Linked DNA regions of Schizosaccharomyces pombe. Changing the gene in region 2 together with the main gene of any one other region gives a genetic interaction. Each region holds a gene or a part of one and is shown on either strand. Other genes may lie near its edges.

Region 1 (4,904 bases), on a different chromosome or scaffold from region 2:
AATCAAATTGACCAAAAGGCAGCTAAGCGTTCCAGAGCGGTACTGGAGTTATCAGGTGATTTGGACATGCCATACAAAGAACGAAGATTTGAACGCCAGCAGCGATTGATGAGAGAAGCTGCAGCCAGGGGTCGAAATCAGGATGCTGGTGCTGATCTTGATGATGAAGATCCGGAATCAATGGGCATACCTGCAAATGTCGATCGTGAAGTTGAAGATCAAGATGATTTGGATTATTACGAGTCTCTCGATAAAAAATCAAAGATGGCTAAAAAGCTCCGTAAAGAAAATCACGATCTCGAACGTGATTTAATAAGAGCTTCAAGGCACCCAGAACTAATTGAATTAGGTGAAGGTGATAAGCGTGGAATTACTTTAGACATTGCTAAAAATAGAGGATTAACTCCCCGTCGACCTAAAGAAAATAGAAATCCTCGACTTAAAAAGCGTATGCGCTACGAAAAAGCTAAGAAGAAATTAGCCAGCAAAAAGGCTATTTACAAGGGCGCACCACAGGGCGGCTATGCTGGTGAGCAGACTGGTATTAAAGCTGGTTTAGTTAAAAGTATTAAACTTCAATAGAAGTGGTGGTTGGTATTGATTCAACTATTAATTCTGCATATATTAGGTTTTTTGAATTTTCGTGTTATTAGATACATATAATAATAATGTGGTTTTGGGTTATGTTATTTGCTAGAACAATGTCGTTAGCCTAGTGATATGATTTTAAAATGCTAAAAGTCTATGTAATCTGGTTTATAATCATTAAATCATTTATAATCCTTTGCCCATCCTGATTAAGTAAGTTGATTGTAATAACAGATTGAAAAGTAAAAAAAAAAGAATCAACACTTAAATAGAATAAACATGTTTATTAAAAGCTTGATTTAGAAAGAAATTTCATAAGTAAGTTGCCTTCGTAATTGCTGCGAACATCAGTGCAGAAACTAATCTTTCTTAAAACATGCGTTTAGTTTATTAGAAAGAATTTCTTACGATTAGGCTTACATTAATTGACATATTATCAGCAAAAAGAAACAAAAATTATTTAACTGGAATGGCCCAAATGCGGTCTAGGAAATATCCAAAAGGTACCCTTTTGAGGTTATAACAAAGAAGTTTGATGATGAGAAAGGAAAGGCACCCAAGATGTTAATGCAGTAGAAAAAGTTATTTTAGACCATCGTTACTGGTGATAAATAACGAGTAAATTACTCACGAAAAAAAAAAGGAATCATGAAAAGCACTTATTTTGCGAGACGAAGCCCCAAAAGATCTCGCACATCATGAACATATTGCAGTGCATGAAGAAAAGAAAGTAAGTTTAGTAAATCAACGTCAGAGGGGTCGCTAATCCAACCTTCAATAGGTATGGCATTTTCTTTATGAGCATTGTAACTGGCTGGAGAATTATCAATTATCATGATCCGTGAAAGATGAATATTACAAATGGAAATATCTTTAACGAAAGAACTATCGACAAGTGCACAGTGTTGACGGTAGTATCGTTTAGCAAATATTTTTTTATCACGCTCCAAATAATCAATTATTGGATCAGCATATGGCTGGACAGATGCTGTGAACAAAATAAGGCGAAACCATTGACTCACATTTGATAAAAAGTAGTCAAGATGAGGCCTTTTGTGAATATAGTAAAGGATTGGATGTTCACCAGGCACATGTACTTCAATTGGCTGTCCAGAAGTCGTTCGACTACCACGAGACACGGAATGGATAAGTGTTTCATCCAAATCTAATACAAGGGTCTTTCTCGGTAACTTGCTATTCAACAAAGGCCTCGGTATTTTGTCCGCACACAGAGTAATGTTTCTAATACGGAGACGGGAAGAAGAAGGAGATTTAAGAGGATCATTAACTATCGTAAAGGAGGAAGGCAGCTTAGAAATATTGTCATTAGCAGGCGGGGAAAACTGAGTTGATTGAGGTTGATGCGAATGTCCTGAACGATTGGAATTTGCTTTTCCCATTAGGGAGACCTCTTTGGGTTTCATAGGAGAAACACACACATCTTCTTCTGAATTCAATGAATTTGAAAAAGAATTGAAAGAAATTTCTTCTTCTGCAATAGAGGGCTGAAAACGAACATGATTTCCATTAGAAGAACTGCTATAAGAATTAGAAGATCTATGTCGTTTGAAAGATGAATAGGCAGGATCCTGGTGAGAGGATGGGTAAGAATAAGAAGAATAAAACCTAGGACGGCGGACACTTGGCTGAGGGGGAAGCATCTCTCGGCGTTTATACGATAATAATACAGGAAAAAAGACAAACCGGCATAGACCCCAAAAAAAACTTGCAAGGGTAAACTCTTTCTCTTCATTCAAAAAGTGGTACAAAAATACACGAGCGGAATGAACGAAAAACGTATAAATTCGTTTCAGGAACACACGAATCCAGTAGACGACAACACGCATAATGTTGGCATGCTTCGGTTTTTCATTCCTTGTAGGAACTTCCTTTTCCGTCGGTTTTGATGACAAACTGCTAAGGCTGGACGCCGAATAAGACGATCTACGACGATTATAATGCCTCAAAGTAGCTGATGAAGCTCGCCCCCGAGCATTAGCAAGTTTTTCTTTGTCAGCTTCATCGTCGTCTAAAGGAGTGGCAAGGATTGCTTTATTAATTTCATCTGATAGCCTAGCAATCGAATTCATTACAATTATTTTCTCTCTGCTGCGATTGCAAAGAATTAAAAAATTCACCAAAAGAAGCGATGCATACAAAGTATACAACGACCAAGCAGAGTCCTTTTAGTAAAAAAGAGTAATTAATTAAATATGTGTTAGTTAGACCTAAAATATGTGGGAAAACAAAGCCAGAATCACACGGTGGTACGATGCACAATATATATAATGATGAACTACAACCCAAATAATAACATTTTCATAAGACGTAATGCTTAAGAAGATATATCAAAACTACCTTAAAGTAACAAATTTAAATGTAAACAATACGGTGTAAATATTTATTAAGTTCGTAAAATGAAAGTTCATTGCAGAAGCTTTCATTTTTTTTAACTAATAAACTTTACTTGTATGGGTTTCTGTGCAAGAAAAATTAATTTTCATTTTATTAAAAGTCTAAATATTTGTAGAAGCTAGCTTAATTGCCATTCTTTTAATCAACGTTTTGCTAGAATGTAAGTCGCCGAGCGGTCTTTTTAGGTTTCTTGACATTACTTGAAAGATGCTTTTAAGTCTAAATATATTTAATGGTACGTTAAAATGTATCAAGCTCCTTTAGACGTTGCATACAATAAATTACTTACAAATAACAGGCTGAACTAACTTATTGACTTTACAAAATTATAAACATATCGATAAAATTGGTTAAGCGGACACTAAAGAGAATTCAAAACACTTGCTAATCTGAATATTGCACTCTTCCTCAGGTATCAGCACCTCCTTACGTATTTTTTATGAAAAGGGAAAACTGGGCTAATGCAACATTCGTAAACCAATTTATCTATTGCTAAATCATTCCAAAATCGTAAGCGTTTGCATTTCATTGTAAAGGAGATTGTTTTGTTGCTGTGTTAATCTACATGTAATTGATAGCAGCTTAGAGACTTCGGAGAAGAACTCCTCTCCTACTTGAACACTGTCTTATGACTAATTTAAGTATTACTTTTAAACTTCATCTTTTTCTAGTAAAGAGAAATTCTCAGTTAACATAAATCAATAAATTGTTCAATTGAAAGCATGTAGTCGGTAGGAGTTATATTTTATATAATTATATAATGGTTTAAAGATAGCACTTTAAATATATTATAGTATAACAATAAAGTCAAGTTCTTAACTATAGGTGAAATTACTCCAGCATTGCTTCCTTGAAACACTGATTACTTGCTTTGTCGCTAGGTTGCTCTTGTATTGTCGTTAGATGTGTTTTTGTAAACACAATTCAATCTAATTTTATTTTTCTAATTATCTTCATGTCAACATGGCCTATTGATGCAATTAGTAAAAAACCTAGTGTAAGTTTGGATTATGGAATTATAGGGGCGTGTCAACTTTTAAATCCATCTGGCTATCACAGAGCGGAGAAGGTTGAAAATAATGAATGGACTTTTGCTAGGTATGACTCCTATACGGGCGTCGAGCTTGTTGACTTGGACAAAAGATGGGATATCTTATCTTTAAATCCAAACTACAAACTCCCTAAATTAACTGAGCTTCCTGCTGAGGCCACCAATTCCACGCGTAAAGCGACTAGTAGTTCATTTGGTTTAAGTGTTTGCAGATATGTTCCGCGAAATTTATTTTCTACACTAGCGAAAGAGTCTCAATTAGCTTCTTCTGCTGAGTCTATATATAATCCACATATTTTAAATACTTTTTGCTTGGGTAAAACAGCGCCATCAGATAAAAACAGATACACCACAACTGAATGTCTTGCTTGTAGCAAGATTAGCAATGAAACTGCGGAAAATCTCCTCTTTTTATGCCTCTCGTCTCCATGGATTTTTCGTGCATCTCCGACATTACAAAATACTGCAACTTTTGAAGAATTCCCATTTTACTTGAATGTATCGGCTTTTGAGTTTGCTGAGGATCCAATATGGAAATTCTCACAACCAGTGAGACAATTGGTTTTCTCTAATGGAGAACCAAGTTTGCTCTTCGCATTATCGTCTTGTGAGTTGGTTATATTCCAGGTAACTTATGATTTAATGTTCTTAGATGAGCCAAATACACCTGGATGCTTGTCCGCTATACCTCTGCGTTTTTTGTACGCAGATGATGTTTATAATTCTGACTCGTTTGCTAACGTGTCTGTCCATCCCACCGATAATTCATTTTTTTTAACAACTTCATCATCTGGTAGATGGACCATCTGGCAATTCTTAGATGATGGGTACAGGGAATGCTTCGGTAGTT
Region 2 (3,619 bases):
TGATATCAATGAAAACAACTTTATCATTGTTAACAACAAACTTACCATCCAAAATAGCTTTATCAGCATTTAAAAATGAAGATTTCAAAGCATTAACAAAATCGCCTTTCTGAAAATCAGGATTCTTTTCAAGAATCTGAGGAAGATTGCTTCCACACCATTTCGCGACTTTGTCTCCACCGTGGCCGTCATAAACCGCAAAAAAGTCGACCGGGTCTTTTACTGCAGAGCACTCCATTGAAAGTATAGCAGAATGAGCATCTTCCATTGAGATACGCCATCCTTGCATGCTTGAAAGTCCATAAAGGACGAACTCATTGCTCCCGTTCACCGAGTGCTTCTCGGTGACTGGCTCTGATAATGTCTGACCCATTGACAGCTCTTGCTAATAGATGACACAAATTTTCACGTTTTCTTTTTGTGTCGCTTCAAAACGGGTTATGTAGTAGTGATAGGTAAATCGCTAGTAGGTGGTGGAGCTTGTCGGAGGGAGTGTTGTGGCACCCTCTACAACTACATCACCACCGTGGAGACGAACGATAGTTGTTAAAAGACTATGGAAGGTAACAAGATTAGCAGTAGTCAAGGCATATATGTAAACAACAGAATAAATGGTATCAAGGACTAAATACTTATAAATTTCAAATGTTCATTAAAAAACATGTGTAAACATAGCATATCCTATAAATTGATTTTTCAATGGTTTGCATTTTACTATGACTACAATAGAGACAAAAACAACGCTGAGTAGAATGCCCCAACAAATTCAGCAACTTGATTCAGAAAAAATTTCTATTAGGCAAAAATGATATTATTTTGATTCAATTAAAAATTCCATTGGATTTAATAAATGACCAAATAAATTCTACTTATTAGAAAGAAAATTGAAATAGAACTATTTGATAGGAGTAATAAATCTTAGCAATAGCAAGTAGGATAACAGTTTTATAACAACATCAACAATGAAGATATACATAACTTTGAAAAATAGCACAAGAAGCTAATCTTTACGTTGCTCACTTTTAGCAAGTCCTTCAGCTAAACCTGTATAGTAGCCCGCATAGTACCAGCTCATGATAAGCTTTTTGTAAGTCTCGTCTAAATCATTATGTTAATAATAGAGAGTCATAAATTTTCTTAGAAGACCTTTTACTTACCATATGTTAACCCTCTTATAGGGGGAGGAACTTCCATAAACTCTTGATGTGTCTCTGCTGCCCTTGTTTCAGGCTTTTCGTCGCTAAGGCCTTTATTATCTGCAAACTGTTGGATATGTGTATCTCCTTCCAATGTCGTCTCTGTTTGCTGATTTATCATCTGCTCACCTTCTTCTAGCTTACTTATTGATTCTTCTGTCCGTGCAGCTGAAATTAATTTTTCACCATCTAGCCTAGAATCCGGGTCCGATACTCCTCCCTTTGCTTCAATACTATGATACTTTTTGAATTCATGTAAAGCGGTTTCAAAGGCATTTCTGAGCTCTGAATCATCCCACACTTCTTTTTGGCTCTGGTCCATTTTTGGTACAAGTTGTAGATAATCTATTCCTGTATGTCTTTCTTTGTACCTTAAGAAAGCTTTATTAACAAGTAGTTTCCAACTTTGTTAACTCTTATATTAATTGAATATTATTAAAGTGAAAATATTGTTTATAAAGCACAACGCGTATAACGATAAACAGTTTGAGCTCGGCGATTCCGCTTACTACAACAATTATAATCTGCTGTGGTAACTTAGCTCCTTGCCTTAACTATCAGCCGCCTTAGTGGACAGGACTACAAGAATTCGAGGTCAAAGATATAACGAGGTTCGCACATGGCGATGTGAACTCGTGGAAGTATTGTGAAAGAATGTTTATTCCAATTCATCTTTGTTTACGATTTTGGCTTTATTATACCAAAAAGAAAAAGGAATTGTATAAGCTACAAAAATCAACCTAAATCAGTTATCTAATATCCACACGAATAATTCATTAAATGCTACATGCGCTAATATGGTTTAGCGAGGACTTCTCAGTAAGTTAGCTTTCTGGGATAGATTTTAAACTACCTAATTGAATTTAAGGTAGCTCCACGTAATTACGTTACATATTTTTATGCATCGTCATCTTAATTTACGTTAAGTACATATCGCATTCTGAAAGACCATGCGAATGGGTATTGGATGAGTATCGTTCTACTATCCCTCCTCTACATACATTCATATTTTAAAGATTTTCGTTCATGAAAAACTATCATAACATATTTCAATAGTGTATCTTTTGATAATTTCCTTTTTCCGTTACTTTTTACATGCATATAATACTTGGATAGATCAGATTTTTCTTGTTCTCGATTTTCTGAAACGATCGTTCATTCATTCCTCGATAATTTGACGAAAGGACCCTTAAGTTTGCTACTTTGCAATAATGGCTTTCAATGGATATGGTATTTTCGACAGTGATCCTAGAAAAAGTAAGTATACCTATCCTTCCCTCATTTGTAACAAAATTGCTAACGTTGTTTGAATCTTCGATCTGCGGGTGTTAATTCCTACAGATTCGAGATTCATCGCTGAAAACAGATCCATCGAGCGATTTAAGAACTCAATTTTGGCTCGCCTTTTTACTTGGAGCCTCTGCATGCGTATTCTTTTGCTTCTTTCGTAAAAGATGGAAAGTACTATATGCCCCTAGAACTACCATTGAAGGTCTCAATTTACCTACACTTTCTTCATCGTACTACAAATGGTTAATGGATTTAGTAAACATCCCTGATGATGTAGTGCAAAATTGTGCTGGTTTGGACGGCTACGTTTTTTTATTGTTTTTTAAAATGGGTATAAAATTCCTTTCTTTTGCTTCCCTGCTTGGCGTTTTGATTATTATGCCCGTCAATAAGCATTTTCGTGGAGATGCATTCGGGAATATTACTTTGTCGATGCCTGCCAAATCTGAATATTTCTTCTCAAGTCCACTTGTCAAGAAGTCAATTGTACAATCTCCTATTATTGCTAATGGTAGTGAGTTAAATGTTGGTGTGTTAGGACCTTCTTTATTTAATCCAATTGGTAATTTATCTGATATACCAGGTCTTCCACAGCCTGGTGATGGATTTCTCTATCTTTACGTTCTTTTTACTTACTTTATTTCCATTTTTCTTCTTTATGTTCTTTTTTCCTCAACAAAATCGATTGCTGACATTCGTCAATCATATCTGGCTCGTCAAAATAGATTGACGGACAGAACCGTTTTTATATCTGGTTTACCTAATGAACTTTGTTCAACGGAAAATTTAAAAGCATATTTTGATAAATTAGATGTGGGTTCTATAGACAGTTTAAGTATATGCCGAAATTACTCATACATGGATATATTACTGTCTAAAAAAAGTAAATACGTCAAGAAATTAGAAAAATATTGGTCTATCTATTTAAGTAACTGCAAAAAGCTTGGAATTTCCACTTTACCTCCTTCGAATTATCTTAGTCCAAACAGAGCAGAACTTGAATCAACACCAGAACAACTTTTGGAGGTTCCTTGGCAACATCATCAATGCCATCCGTTAATAAAAACTCATTTTTTTGGTATTTTTGGTCAAAAGATTGACGCAATCGATTTTTATTCGGCTAAGCTTTATAA
Region 3 (6,582 bases), on a different chromosome or scaffold from region 2:
AGCGTTACATTGGTGAAACAAGAAAACTTAAAGGAGAACCTTCAAAATGGCTCTGCTGTCTCAGTTGGGTCTTCGGAATCCTCAAACCACTCAATGAAGGAAATTAGTTTAGACTACTCATCTCCTAGTTTGCAGCAAACGGAAGAACAGGATCGGGAACTTAATTTTATAGATTCTTCTATGTTGCGTCCCACTCCTCCCCAGGAAAGCGATAATCGCTTGGCCGTTGAAAAACCTAACATTCAACCTCTTCAAGGTCATTCCCCTGTTCCATCCTTTATGTCAACTGCATCTACCAATATTTCATCCTCCAAAATAAATAATAATCAAACAGAATTTGAACAATTACGCGATTCCTACAAGTCTCACGGCGATTTAAATAGCGCCATTAACGATTCACGTATTCAATCAATCATTTTCGAGCTTAATCAACAATGTGAAAAAGAGTCAATTCCCGTTTCTAATATCGATTGGCTTCAATGGGCCAGTGTGCCTCTTTTTGCTTATGACCTTCCGCCTGATCCTTCTAATCCCAATGCTACATCCTCCTCTCCCCCTCCCTTGACACCGATTTTAGAACTAATTAAACAAAATAACTTTTGTATTCCATCTCCGTGTCGAAAACTGGTCTGGCAATCCCTTGTTTCCGCTGAACGTAATGAACTTCTAACACTTTACGCTACTTTAAGTACTACTAATAATTCTTTGGATTCTTCTATTCGGAAGATTATTCGTATGCAATCTTTCAGAGGACCTTTGGAGCCTTTTAAATATTCTTCTACTACAAGGCATAAAGTTTCAACTGAGTCTATATTTCACGTTTTGCATGCTTTTACTTTGTTTGATACAACTGTTGAGTATAACATTGAACCTTTGCTATGGTTAACTTGTGCTTTTCTATCGTATATGGCTCAAGGAAACGCCTTCCGTTCGCTAGTTTGTTTCATTCAAAGAGGTGGAATTCGTGAGTTTTTCATATCCCAATCCAGTTCTCTTGACGAAAGTCTTTTCGCTTTGGTTTGGGGTTGTTTGGGTGACTTGGCACCAAGTGTCGCTATCTCATTACAACGTATAAAAGTTAGTTCATTGTGTATACTATATCCATCATTAGCATGCTGCTTTGCCGATTCGTTGCAATTACCCGAAGCACTCCGCCTTATGGATTTAATTGCTATCTACGGCTTGGAAATGTTTGTGCGTCTTCTTGTTGCTATTTTTTTAAAGGATCGGGACAAGATTGTAAATATGGTTTCTCATGAACAGTGGGTTAAGTATTTACGCTCAGACGTTTTAGCTTCATATCGGCAGCCTCTGGTCCAAAAGTATACATTTTACACAAGAACTCCTGTCGACTTAAATGCATGGGTTGAAGATTCACTTGCTCTAAACATCGATACTACTCAGTTCCCATCCTATCTTTCATATCACGAAACCTCCGTATCTCACAACACCTATCGCCAAAATAACTTAGAGGAACTTAAAAATCAAAATGATTATTTAACCTCTCAGATAACTAATTTAGAGGAGGGAATGGTTATGTTGAATAAGGAAAACACTAAACTTTCTGAAGCACTTTCCAACCATCGAGTAACAAGAAGCGAAATGGAGGAGGCTACAGAAATTTTAAAAAATAATTCTGCTGATCTGAAAGCTCAATTAGAGAAACAGCCTCAGGAATTGGAAAATAGGCTTCTTCAAGAAATCTCAATCCTTAAGCAGCGCAATCAAAAATTTCTTAAAAACAATGCTACTTCAATTCAACAAATACAATATCTTGATGAGGAACTTGGAAAGACTTTAAAGCAGCTAAATGACCTCAAGGAAAAACATGCTCAGCTACAAACTAAATGGAAAAGTGTCTCTGAGATGTTTAGAAATTAGCACGATAAACCAAAGATCACTCTTTATTGCTATTATTATTAACATGAAGACTAGTGCATTCAACACTTTTTTAATGATGGATAATTAGGACTCAATGAATGTATAGGCATAAAAATTTAGTGAAGTCAAGTAAACATAGAATAAACAACCTTAAAAAAATAATCATGTCATTTCTATTTCGCAGCGATTTAACTGTTCAAGAATTTGAGAAGGCATACGATATTCTATCAGGAAACTGTACATGACAATTCTTCGTGCTTTTTGTCTATATAGGCGTAACTTATCCACGGATATAGCGTCATTTCCAAAAGATGAAGATTTTTGTTTAGCATAAAGTTCTTTAAGGCTGTTCATGGCTATTAAAACAATACCAGGTACGTTTTGTAATAAATTTTCATTGAGAAATCGAAATTCTTTTGCAAGTTTTCTCACAACAAAAGTTTCACAGTCTGAGTCAAGTGGGTCAAGGGGTAAAATTTCTAACTGCTGTAAAGACGATAAAGCTTGTTCATAGTCTTTATTGGTATATGCATTGAACGCCTCCACAGTCAATAAAAGCAAATTCGTCGTCTCGCGATTTTTGTAATCCACTTTGGCATACAAAGAAGGGTTTCTGTTGTATACATCCATCATACTTTTAGTTAAAGATATAAGTTTATCGGGAAAAACAAACTGGTCCAAAAACCTTAGCAATGCAGAGCCCAGCCGTCTATTTATAACTGTTACTGCCGCATCGTAATCCTCAGCTAAATGATATAAAAGAATGGCATCAGATAATAATCCCTGATCATCAGCCTGTTTAGCAGCAGTAAGAGTGATTTTTGATAAGTATTCTTTTACAGAAGAAAGACCAATCAAAGACCTGTGATTCTCCAAAAAGGAAGGAGTCCTCTCGCCATCACCACGTATATCGCCAAGAAGATTAACATAATCACGAGTAGAAAGTACCAAACTGCACAGAGATTTATGACACATCGAGATATATTTATCAATTTTGCACATTGGTATAAGATAACAGGCAGACATTACAGGACTTAATTCTTGACAAGTTTGGGTATAATCGATTAACAACCGATCGAATTCAAGGGAAGGCTTCCCAGATTTTGTTTCAACCAGCATTGATTGAATCTTTCCAGGTTCATTACTGACAACTGAGCTAGAAGGTGCAGTGCGCAACAGACCGTAGTATGCGCAAGTAATGGCAAAATGGACTGCATCGGTTGGAAAATAAGGATATAAAAAATTAATGGCACGCTCGTAAAGACCACAAAGCATTAACAAAAAGAAGTACATAACGGGATTAGATCCGTTGTTAGTAAAATAATCGGAGCCATACGAAAGCAAAATATGTTGAACATCTTCCAATGAAAAAAATTCGTGAGCGGAAACGCTTTTTTCAGTAAATTCACGTGACAAAATTAACTGGAACCAGATGTAATCTTCAGTGACAGAACAAATCGATGGACACGAAGTTTTAGAAAGGTCGCAGCGTCCAATTATTTTGTATACTGCATACTTATAAGGATCAGAAGATTCCTGTAGACGAATGGTTTGATTAAACTCAGAAAACAATTGACTCCGAAGTTGCCTTGGTAAAATACCATTCGGAGCCTTCGCATAAGCATTGATATAAAAAGGAAATTTCTCAGCCACCTTTTCAAAAAGATCTCTGTTTTCTTCAGTAAAGTCCACTGCTTCCTTTAAAAAACCACATCGTAATAGATAGAATATGAAAGCCCATATAGGAACATCTTGGATTATTTCTAAATCTGGATTAATCCAAACACCGTTCCTTAATAGACGAATGTTCAAATACGCTCGAATTTTGTTACGTATTGAAGGAACACCGCCTACCAAAGCAGCCTGGGGGGTTTTTGCAATTTCCTTATTCAAAACTTCAAAAAATTGAGCTTCAAGGAACTTACGGGAACAGTCAGAAATCCTTTGATAGAACCGAGAGTTAACCGAGCCATCCTCAGTCTCAATGTCAAAGGCTTTTGAGATTATGCCTTTATTGCCAAACACTGTCACAGAATCCTTATCCAATATAACAGAGGAAAGTAACTTCCAGGATTCGTAAAGGAGAAGAGACTTTGTATCATGAGCAAATTCTCTTGCAACCTCACAAAAAGAACTGACAAGCTTTGATTGAAATCCGTGCAGTGCTTCCTCCTCAAGACACATTTTTAAAGTGGAAGCAAACTTCTGCGAACGTTGCACCGAGAAAGGATAAAAGGATACTCTCTTTTTATTTTCAAGTAAAATATTATCAAAGGAGGGTCTGCTTTTTGCAGCTTTGGAACGCCATTCCTCTTCCAAATATTGATCGAACGCTATTTGGGTGTTTTGTACCAATGCTTCCAAAGAATTTAAAACATTTTTTTCTCGATGATACTTCAAAAACATATCTACATCGGTAAAGGACAACTCGAGAGTAGTGGGAGGTCTTACTTGTAGAGAGAGCGACTCAATTTTCTTCCATGTTTGTTCGGCATTAATACCGCTTCCAGCAAGCAAATAATGGCTATATCGTTCATTAGACAAATATATCTAATAGGATACAAATAACTTACGCTTTTGTATTACCATCCTTACTAGTAGGAACGGTGTTCAAGTAATGTTTTGCGCGTTGTTCAATCTCACCCAAATTGAACTGGATAAACGGAAGACATGGTTCCAACAACTCATTAGCAAGTTTACGAGACTTTTGATCTAAAAAAGGTATGCCTCTAGCTTCCTTTGGTGAATCGTCAGACGCAACCGTCATGGCGATGGTCAAGATGTAAACAAGCACAATGCGTTTGAGAGAATCTGTCTCGGTGAACTAAGGAAATTGAAGTCACCGAGTTCACCGAACCTTAATTGTTAAAAACAATATTTCATACTAAACAGGTCAACAGTAAAACGTTAAAGAGTATTTGAATCATCCTTGTACTCGGTTGGAATTACAAATTCTTATGCAAAAAGCTTTGCTTTACGTATACAGCAAGTGTGAAGTCAAGTCTGTCTATGTGGATGTGAAAGGGCTTAAAAAGTATAAAATTAAAAATTTTAAAATACTATTTTCAAACATCGATTGTTCTCGTTTAGCTCTTACTATCATTTAAAAGCCAATACATATGAATTCACAGAATCAGCAGTGAATTATTTGGGCCCTTAGGGACAGCAATAGGGAAATGATATTTAATATTGGTAAAAAGTGTTCAGAATTTAGAGAAATAACTGAATGGATGATATTTCAAACCCTCTTACTACTAACAGCCGTGGTCGCTCATACTCATACGTTTAATGACCCATAATTGAATATAGGATTAAGAAATCGTCAGAAATTTAAAAATAAATATATATAAACTAGCAAAAAATATTTTAGTATAGATAAGGCTACCATTGTCTCGTGGTGTGCGATTTCCCAATAAAGCTATTTGCTATAAGCGTTTTGCTTTTGTAGGTAAATATCAAAGCCATTAGTTAATTAAAGGAAATGGGACAGAATCTGGAAAATCAAGTATTGTGCCTCGGTTGACACTCGTAAACTAGAAGAGATTATGTTCAACTCGCATTACAATATCATATACATGAAACCAAATAGTCTCCTCCATTTTCAGCAGAAGAAATAATGAAATCGTTAAATATTTACATGCTGATTTCGTTAGAGATTTATTCAAAAACTGATTACTTACTCCTCAATTGCCCACATATGTGCCTCGTGTTCTTGTGCCTTTCTCTCATTTTGGCGCTGAAACCATTTATTTTCAAATCCATTACCACGAATAATTCCATCCCAACGATGGCCAGGTCGTATATTAAACCTATTGGGAGGCGCATATCCTTGATAAGTAGCTTTTGATGATACAGGTTTATTAGTGAGAAACGAAGCAGCTGGGTCATTCCAACGAGACCTTTCTTTCAATTCCTTATTGTATTCAGGATCGTCCTCATAACGCGCCAATGGCACCGTTTTTTGCCTTTCAAGTTCTTTTAGGTATTCTTTCTGTTGACGCACTTGAACCACACCTTGTTGTTGTTCCTTCTGTCTTCTAGCTTCTTCCTCTTTCTCTTTTAATTTTCTTTTGGCTTCTTTTCTTGCAAGAACCAGATCTATCCTTCTCCCTGTGGCATCTCTGTAAACAGTTTCGCGACTTTTGCGAAGCTCTTCCTCATCAAGATTGGATGATTTCTCTTCTCTCTTTCTTCTTTCTTCAGCTTTAAAGGTCACCTGCTTTCCAGTTAACAGACCGAACTGAGGAATTGATTCAGCATCATGAGAATCCTGTTGTTCAGATTCGACAACTTCATCATTCCCCACAGCTTTCCACAACTGAGCAGGTTTATTAGTAGTTTTTTCTATATTCTGATAAATAGCATCAATATCTCGATCTTTAAGGCTTTCATTTGCGACAATTGTAGGGGCATCATGCAAAGATGTGAGTTCTCTGTTGACTAGTGAAAATGAATTGTCATCGTCCCATCCAGCGACATCTTCATCCTGAATTTCTACAAAATCCTTCTCTTTCTTCTTTTTCTTTTTCCCTTGATCTTTTCGTAAATACTTTTTAGCAATATAGTCGGCGTTTGACATATGTGCTGAATGCATATTTTCTTACCTGAGCGCTTCTTAACTCGCTACCTTCCAACACCGGCGGAAGATCAGTATTGACATATTTTATCGGAGAACATGGATTCACAAGAGACAAAAGTTTT
Region 4 (6,720 bases), 1.2 Mb from region 2:
CTGAAGGAAATGCTGACATTGAGGATTGGACATTTGAAACTGTAAAGAAATCTGACTCAACTGTGTTAGGGAATACTAGCATTCCTAAAAATTCCATCATCAGTTCACAAAATAAAGAGGAATTGCCTTCATCAATAAAATATTTAGAGAAAACTATAATGAGTGATCAAGCGACACCGCATCCTTTTTCCAAGTCATTGTCTGAAAAAGGTAGCTCTTATCATAAATCGTTGACTTCCGATTTTGCTATGAAACATTATATTAAGTCCACCATACGATCGATGTTATTAAATGATAAATTGTCAGCAACGCAGCGCTCATCTTTAGAATCTTTTTATACATCTTTCATTTCTTTAGATAAAAATCTGTCCTCAAAATTTGTTAACCAAATTACTCCAGACAACAGACTGCATCACAAAAAGCAAAAGCGGAGCCCCATATCACAACTACTATTTTCACGGTGGCTTGAAGAAACTGAGAAAAGAAGAAGTCTAAATGGATAGCTTACTAAAAACTCGTAAACAACCTGTTTACAGCATTCACAATTTTGTATTTAAATGAACTTATAATGGCATATTCTACTATAATTTAATCTACATAATATATATAAACACATCCAAACGAGAACTATTCGAAATCAACTTGACACTTGCTTTAAAGCATTTTGTACATTCCAGTTATTTCCAGACAAATATTGTTCAGCCGTTTGATAAGACACAGAAGTATAATTCATGACATAGGTTATTCTGGTTGGTTAGCAAAATTCTCCAAAAAAAAACATACTTAGCCTTTCTCTTAAATTCATCAGCATACTCAATCCACTTTCGTTTGACCACGTCCCATGTGGACCCCTGAGATTGCGCATTTACCATCTTCGCTTTGGAATGTATTAAAGCAGATACTGGTCGGTGATCTGATGCCTTCAGTTCGTACCTGGTATAGTTTTCTGCAGAGATGTAGTCGGGACTTCCACGATAACAGATACGATCACACCAGGCAGGCACACGCTTTTTTTCACTACTGTCGTACTGCTCACTATGAACGTCGTACTTGTAAGTTGGGGCAAACGTGATTTCTGGTTCAGTAAATGTTCTCAGACGAAATCCGGCATTTCTTTTTCGCTCAACAAGAAGCTGATCGCTTTGGAGCAAAGTTTTTATGTCGTTTTTTTTAATTAAATCTAAAGCTTTAGGTCTCAATGTGTTGATTCTATAATTTAAATCACCATGCAAAACACAAACTTCGTGATCCATAATTAAAGAGCCATCGCCACCACCAACGAATGTATTCAATTGATCAGTTTCATCATTTTCAGGAAAAAGAGAAGCATTGTCTAAAATTGTTGCCAAATCATTATTTCTGGCTGCTTTATTGGATTGACCAGCAGCCAAATGACAGTTTACTATGCAATATGAAGTATCATCTACCAGAAAGCGAACGACTATTGCACCTTTGTTACCATGCAAACCACCTAGTCCCGTTTTTACAGTTGTCGATTGTAACATCCGAATTTTGCTTTGTAACTTATTTTTTACAAAAACACATGAGAAAAGACCAACCAAATTTTCACATACCAAAACCTGATAATCATCGTTTGAGCTTACCCGCATCATTTCAGATTCTAATTTTTCACGCCATAAACGATACTGACTGGAAATATTAGCACTGTTAGACGAACCACCTTTGGAGCTCGACTTTGAAAGGATGCTTCTAGCTGTGAGTCTTTTATTCTCCAAATCAACTAGCTCTTGAAAACCAAACACAACTATATCTGGGTATCCATTGTCTCGAATCATCATTGGAATCATACTAGCTCCAATAGTATCACTATCTAGATCAGATGGCTTTGAAGCTCCGGCATTCCAGGAACAAATAAGTATAGACACGTCAGTAAAATTACTATATTCTGGGAAGCGGCTTCGCATTTCGGTAGCTAACCAGTCACCCATCATTAAACCATCCCAAAACTTGACAACTGAAGAAGCCATACTAACAACTTGGAGCCTTTTAGCTTTCCATACGCTATTCACATCAATACCAAGTATAGTGGTAGCTCCATTGTGACTTGCTTTATGACCATGCCAACTTTTTAAGAGGCGCCAAGGACTCTCAGAAACATCAAATACGTAAATCATGCCTGTCGTGTAGGCTGCCCAAAGTGTATTTCCAACACCAACTAGTGAACAAATTCTATAGAATGAACTGCTAGTAATTAGCTCCAAAAAACGGTATTGGGTTTTCGAAAAGATGGATATTTTTCCATCAACGTGACCATAGAAGACCAAATCCGTAAAGTTTGAAATAGTAGTGCCACAAGAGATATCACCTATCAAACCAGGTGGAGTCATGGGCTTCGCCAAAACACTTGCCGACTCATTTTCTGAAGTTGAAGGATCATATACATAAATTGATTTCCCAACAACAACCCATAAAAGCCGATTATCTAAAACCATAGCATGAGTGGCATGAGGAATGGTGCGAATACTATGTGGAGTAGACTGTATACTTAAACCCATAATTTCATCTTCCTGCCATACATACAGTTTTCCCATATCGTCCAACGTCCACATTTCATTTTTATAGACCATAACGTAAGTAATAGGACAATTGGAAACAGACTTCTTAGTAACGATATGATGATTTTGAACATCGACTTCCCATAACATCCCATCTCTCGTTCCAAACCAAACAAATCTGCCATCGTCAGAGTAATTCTCCGGGGATGATTTAAATGATAAGGACGTTACCTTCGTATCCCCTAGAGGCATATGCCAATGACAAAGACCAGTAACGGTGTCATAAACACGAAGTCCTCCGTTTCCAGCTAAAACAAGGCGATCACCACTAACATCAAAGATTCTAGCTTCAAAATCTACGTTAATTGATTCAACACCGTTAACAAAACAGGGCGGGTTCCTCCTAACGCTAGAAGTATCTGGTATGCTTCCTTTTAAAACAACATCTAATTGCGATGACGAAGAGGAACTAGCAGCAACAGAAGGATCACTTTGCTCAGTAGAAACAGGCATAGAGACAGGTTTGTTAGTAGCTAAGGATTTCACCCTCGGTGGTGGTGGAGGAAACAAAGGGGATGGTTTAGAAGATAAGTTTTCAGATGTTAAAGCTGGACTAGACAGTTCTGATAAAGTGTGACTAGGACGGGGAGGTAATCTGGGTTTCTCAGGTATTAAAGACATCTCTGATGCAGGAGCAATATGAGTGTAGGGAGACGACTGTAAACCAGTAACAAGACTGGCGTCACTTTTAGTAGCCAAATTCTCTATTGGGGAAGAAGAGCGCTGGGTAGAAACTTTACGCAGCGGTGGTTTTGGGGGCTTTCGGGGAGATACATGAAGCGGTAATTGTTGAGATATTACCGCACGCGATTGCTGTATAGCCTCAACAGCAACTGGCTGTGGAGGTCTTGGAGAGGGAATTGGAGGAGGAGTTTCCAAAGACCTGTCTCCAATGTTCAAAACAGGAGGCGCCGTCGATATGGGACACTCCTTTCCAAAGGTCTGGCTAAATGGATCATGCAAATCAAAGGAGGGCACACTTTTACTAGAATTGATAACGTTTTCTTCTTCTTCTTCAGAAGACAGAACCGAAGAGGCTTCGGAGTGAGTTGGAGACTGAGAAATATATGCCTTAACATTTTTTAATGGAGATACAGATATCGGGCTTGAAGAACCTGCTTTCGAAGAAAAATTGGGTTTAGGGGGTGGTATTTGATGATTATTGGTATCATCGTGTTTCATTAGATCATTTCCTTTGGTAGATTGTACAGATGATTGAAAAGAAATTTCAGGCCCTTTTTGTTGAGGTCGCTTAAGTAATGGAGAAACAGAAACAAATGAATTAGATATAGTAGGAGAAGATGGAGTAGCTACGTGAGATTCAGAAGAATCACTAGGTAGACGATCTATTTTTGAAACATCAGCGTGGGGGTTTGAAGGATTTTTAAAATTAGAAGCTAGCCTTTGAATTGAACCACTAACTTTTCGTCCAGTCGAACTTCCTATAGTCGATGAGACTTGCCTCGGCGGTGGAATAGGTCTTGCTTTAAAAACGTTTGGCTCAGAAGTGCCATTTTTACAACCTTTTACAGTTCTTCTTTTAGCAGTTTTTTCGTCCAAATTAGTTAGGTCACCGGTACTCAATGACTCGAACTTTGATTTCAATGATAAAACCGAAGGGGGCAACTCGGGTTCATCTTCATTCACATTGCTGAAGCCTTGGCGAGAGGCCATGTTCCATGATTACGACAATCTTATGCTTTAAATCAATTTTTTAAATAAATCACCTTTTTTAAATACTTCTAAAATCTATTAGGTGCTGTTTGGACCTTTTGCGCTTTTCAGCTAATTGTTGGAAAAAGACAACCAAGACACTGCGTGGGCTGACCTATTATGAAATAAACAAAGCCTCGTGCACTCAAACACACGCATCAACAATACTCCAAATAATCATTTTTACAGAAAACAAAAGGGAAGATGATGTAGAAATTCGCATAATACAAATTAGGAATTCCAAAAAACTATCAAATATTTTTTAGGCATTTGTATTGCTTAACTAAATAGTTTACTTCACATTTATAGAAACAATTTTGAAAGCCATTCTCAAGGCAATGAAAGATCATATTGTCATGTAGCTAAATATTTGTAACATATTATTAAGCATTGACTATAAACACACATTGCACAATTTTATTTCAGAAAGACACAAAACGAGAAATTTTAAGTACTTATGCAAGAAATTTTATAAGATACAGAAAATTTATTCGATATCAAAATTATATAAAAATTGAGCAACTTATGAAAGCATATGTACTATACGTTGAATAAAACCACAATAAAAGAGTGTATAAAGGCATAGAAAAAATAAAATAAAATCATATAGTTAATTGATTGTCTAAAGAATGTAATTTATACGGGAGGCAAGATAGACGTTTGACATTATGTATTAGAAATGAAGGACCATAAAAGATGATAGTATGGTTCACTAGCAAACAAACCCAAATGATAATTGGGTATCAAGTTTCGTTATATTTTAACATTATCTCTAACGTTTGCGAGAGCTGGTAGCCGCCTTTAGTCGTTCGATTTCAAGTTCAATTTGTTTTATTTGAACATGCTGAGCTTCCAAATCTTTATTTAATGAGTCGCGTTCGGCAATCAAGCGTTGTTCCCATTGTCGAAATCGAGTTTCTTCTACGCGCACTTGTTCTGTAAATCTTTTTCTCAAATTTTCTTCTTCTTCCTTAAATTTCGCATTATCAATAGTCCGCAGTTTAGGTTCTCCATACTGGCGAACTTTCATCTGCTCTTGTCGATATTGCTCATACAACTTTTCTTCAGTAGTTTGAATCAAATCAAGCATACAACTCCGAATTAAAATATTCCTAAGCTGTTTAAAGTCGCAGTGTTCTTCGTTCTCAATTTCAACAATTCCCCATGGGTATTCTCTACCCTTAACGACCCTACCATCAGGAGTACGGATGTCATCTTCGCTTCCAACAATCGCGAATGGCATGCAATTAATGATTCCTTGAATTTGTCTGTGAAAAACGGGATCGCCCTCATCCATATTAGGTTTATAAACATTGACTTGATGGTATTCTAAAACTTGAGAAATTCTAGTTTTATACAGAGCTAAATCCCTTCGAGTATACATATCGGCTTTAGCTATGACAGGAATTAAATTGACACGCTTAGAAATATGTTTCATAGCCTCCAAATCCATAGGCCGAACACCATTTCTTACGGGACGCAAAAAATATAGGCAAGCATGAATACGCATATCAATGATCTTACGACGATCTGGCTGCTGATCTTGTCTCATGTACGATTCATGCTGGTCTTCTATAAATTCAACTACCGACTCCCAACATCCTGAATTATTGATAAAATCCCCAAAACCAGGGGTATCAATTACTGTCAACCTTAAGTGGAAATTTTTTTCTTCTAACTCAGCTTTTGTAATCTCTATTTCGACCGTTTTCTCAGCATGCTTCGCACGAACCTTTTCCGGGCCCATATGTGATTTAATTGTTGTTGAAAAGAGTGTATTACAAAATGTTGTTTTACCAAGACCCGACTCTCCACAAAGCATCAAAGTGAAAGCTACACCATTTCGTGAAACTATTTTGTGACGCTGATTAGGTAAATCCGCAATTCCAACGAAGTTTGTCTCTTCTTCATTCATGACGCGCAGAGATGAATAGTATATTTCCTTTGTTTAACGGTCTGTAAAATATTGACTTAAAAGCTTCCAAACTAAATAAAAAAGTTTCCAAAAAATGCAAGAGAATTGTTATTAGTTTTATTAAAGCATAAATGGTAAAAAACGGAAGGTCTAAGTAAATAGATAATCGAAGCTTCGTTGCAATCACTCGTTAGCGATATAACTATATGATCACTATACCTCATTATATTTTTAACGGGCTTTCGTCTCGTAAATATACTAACTATCATTACTAGTTTGCTCATTAAATTTCATAAAGATTCTGAATGCCAGAAATTATGCTTGGCAAATATATAAAAACCTCTATACTACGTAACAGAAATAGATTGCTGGGAAGTATGCATTTAAGTTATTGATTTAATGTTCATTATATTGTTCAAGAAAATAGTTACTACACAGGTAATATGATGATCAAAATCGTTGTTTTAGTTGATATACAAGTACTAACTTGTTGCAGTGTAAAGTTAATTCGTGGCA

Evidence for each region.
Region 1: mutations in smn1 (region 2) and nem1 impair growth when combined (synthetic growth defect), as found in Schizosaccharomyces pombe (one study listed by BioGRID).
Region 3: of smn1 (region 2) and nup97, a mutation in one rescues a mutant of the other (synthetic rescue), as found in Schizosaccharomyces pombe (one study listed by BioGRID).
Region 4: of smn1 (region 2) and inp53, a mutation in one rescues a mutant of the other (synthetic rescue), as found in Schizosaccharomyces pombe (one study listed by BioGRID).

What each region holds. Positions count from the first base shown.
Region 1 is NC_003423.3:3,371,239-3,376,142, reverse strand, and holds nem1 (Nem1-Spo7 phosphatase complex catalytic subunit Nem1), read right to left. Parts: upstream 2,842-4,904; 5' UTR 2,679-2,841; coding exon 1,248-2,678; 3' UTR 591-1,247; downstream 1-590. Other genes in the region: U3 snoRNP-associated protein Utp3, read left to right, coding at 1-582; RNA polymerase I transcription factor subunit Rrn6, read left to right, coding at 3,959-4,904. UniProt on the Schizosaccharomyces pombe protein: Catalytic component of the nem1-spo7 complex which acts as a phosphatase and may be required for proper nuclear membrane morphology.
Region 2 is NC_003424.3:821,332-824,950, forward strand, and holds smn1 (SMN complex subunit Smn1/Gem1), read right to left. Parts: upstream 1,624-3,619; 5' UTR 1,519-1,623; coding exon 1,158-1,518; exon of another isoform or gene 1,099-1,157; coding exon 1,001-1,098; 3' UTR 761-1,000; downstream 1-760. Other genes in the region: protein phosphatase PP2C catalytic subunit Ptc3, read right to left, coding at 46-373; SPOM_SPAC2G11.09 (Ca(2+) transporter), read left to right, coding at 2,408-2,453, 2,563-3,619. UniProt on the Schizosaccharomyces pombe protein: The SMN complex catalyzes the assembly of small nuclear ribonucleoproteins (snRNPs), the building blocks of the spliceosome, and thereby plays an important role in the splicing of cellular pre-mRNAs.
Region 3 is NC_003421.2:2,163,098-2,169,679, reverse strand, and holds nup97 (nuclear pore complex component nup97), read right to left. Parts: upstream 4,660-6,582; 5' UTR 4,649-4,659; coding exon 4,455-4,648; exon of another isoform or gene 4,406-4,454; coding exon 2,044-4,405; 3' UTR 1,882-2,043; downstream 1-1,881. Other genes in the region: SPOM_SPCC1620.12C (GTPase-activating protein), read left to right, coding at 1-1,881; protein Cwf26, read right to left, coding at 5,515-5,521, 5,562-6,460; transcription factor TFIIF complex alpha subunit Tfg1, read left to right, coding at 6,557-6,582. UniProt on the Schizosaccharomyces pombe protein: Has a role in meiosis.
Region 4 is NC_003424.3:1,986,726-1,993,445, forward strand, and holds inp53 (inositol polyphosphate phosphatase), read right to left. Parts: upstream 4,381-6,720; 5' UTR 4,251-4,380; coding exon 784-4,250; exon of another isoform or gene 747-783; coding exon 638-746; 3' UTR 533-637; downstream 1-532. Other genes in the region: PAK-like GC kinase Sid1, read left to right, coding at 1-503; mitotic septin Spn4, read right to left, coding at 5,062-6,204.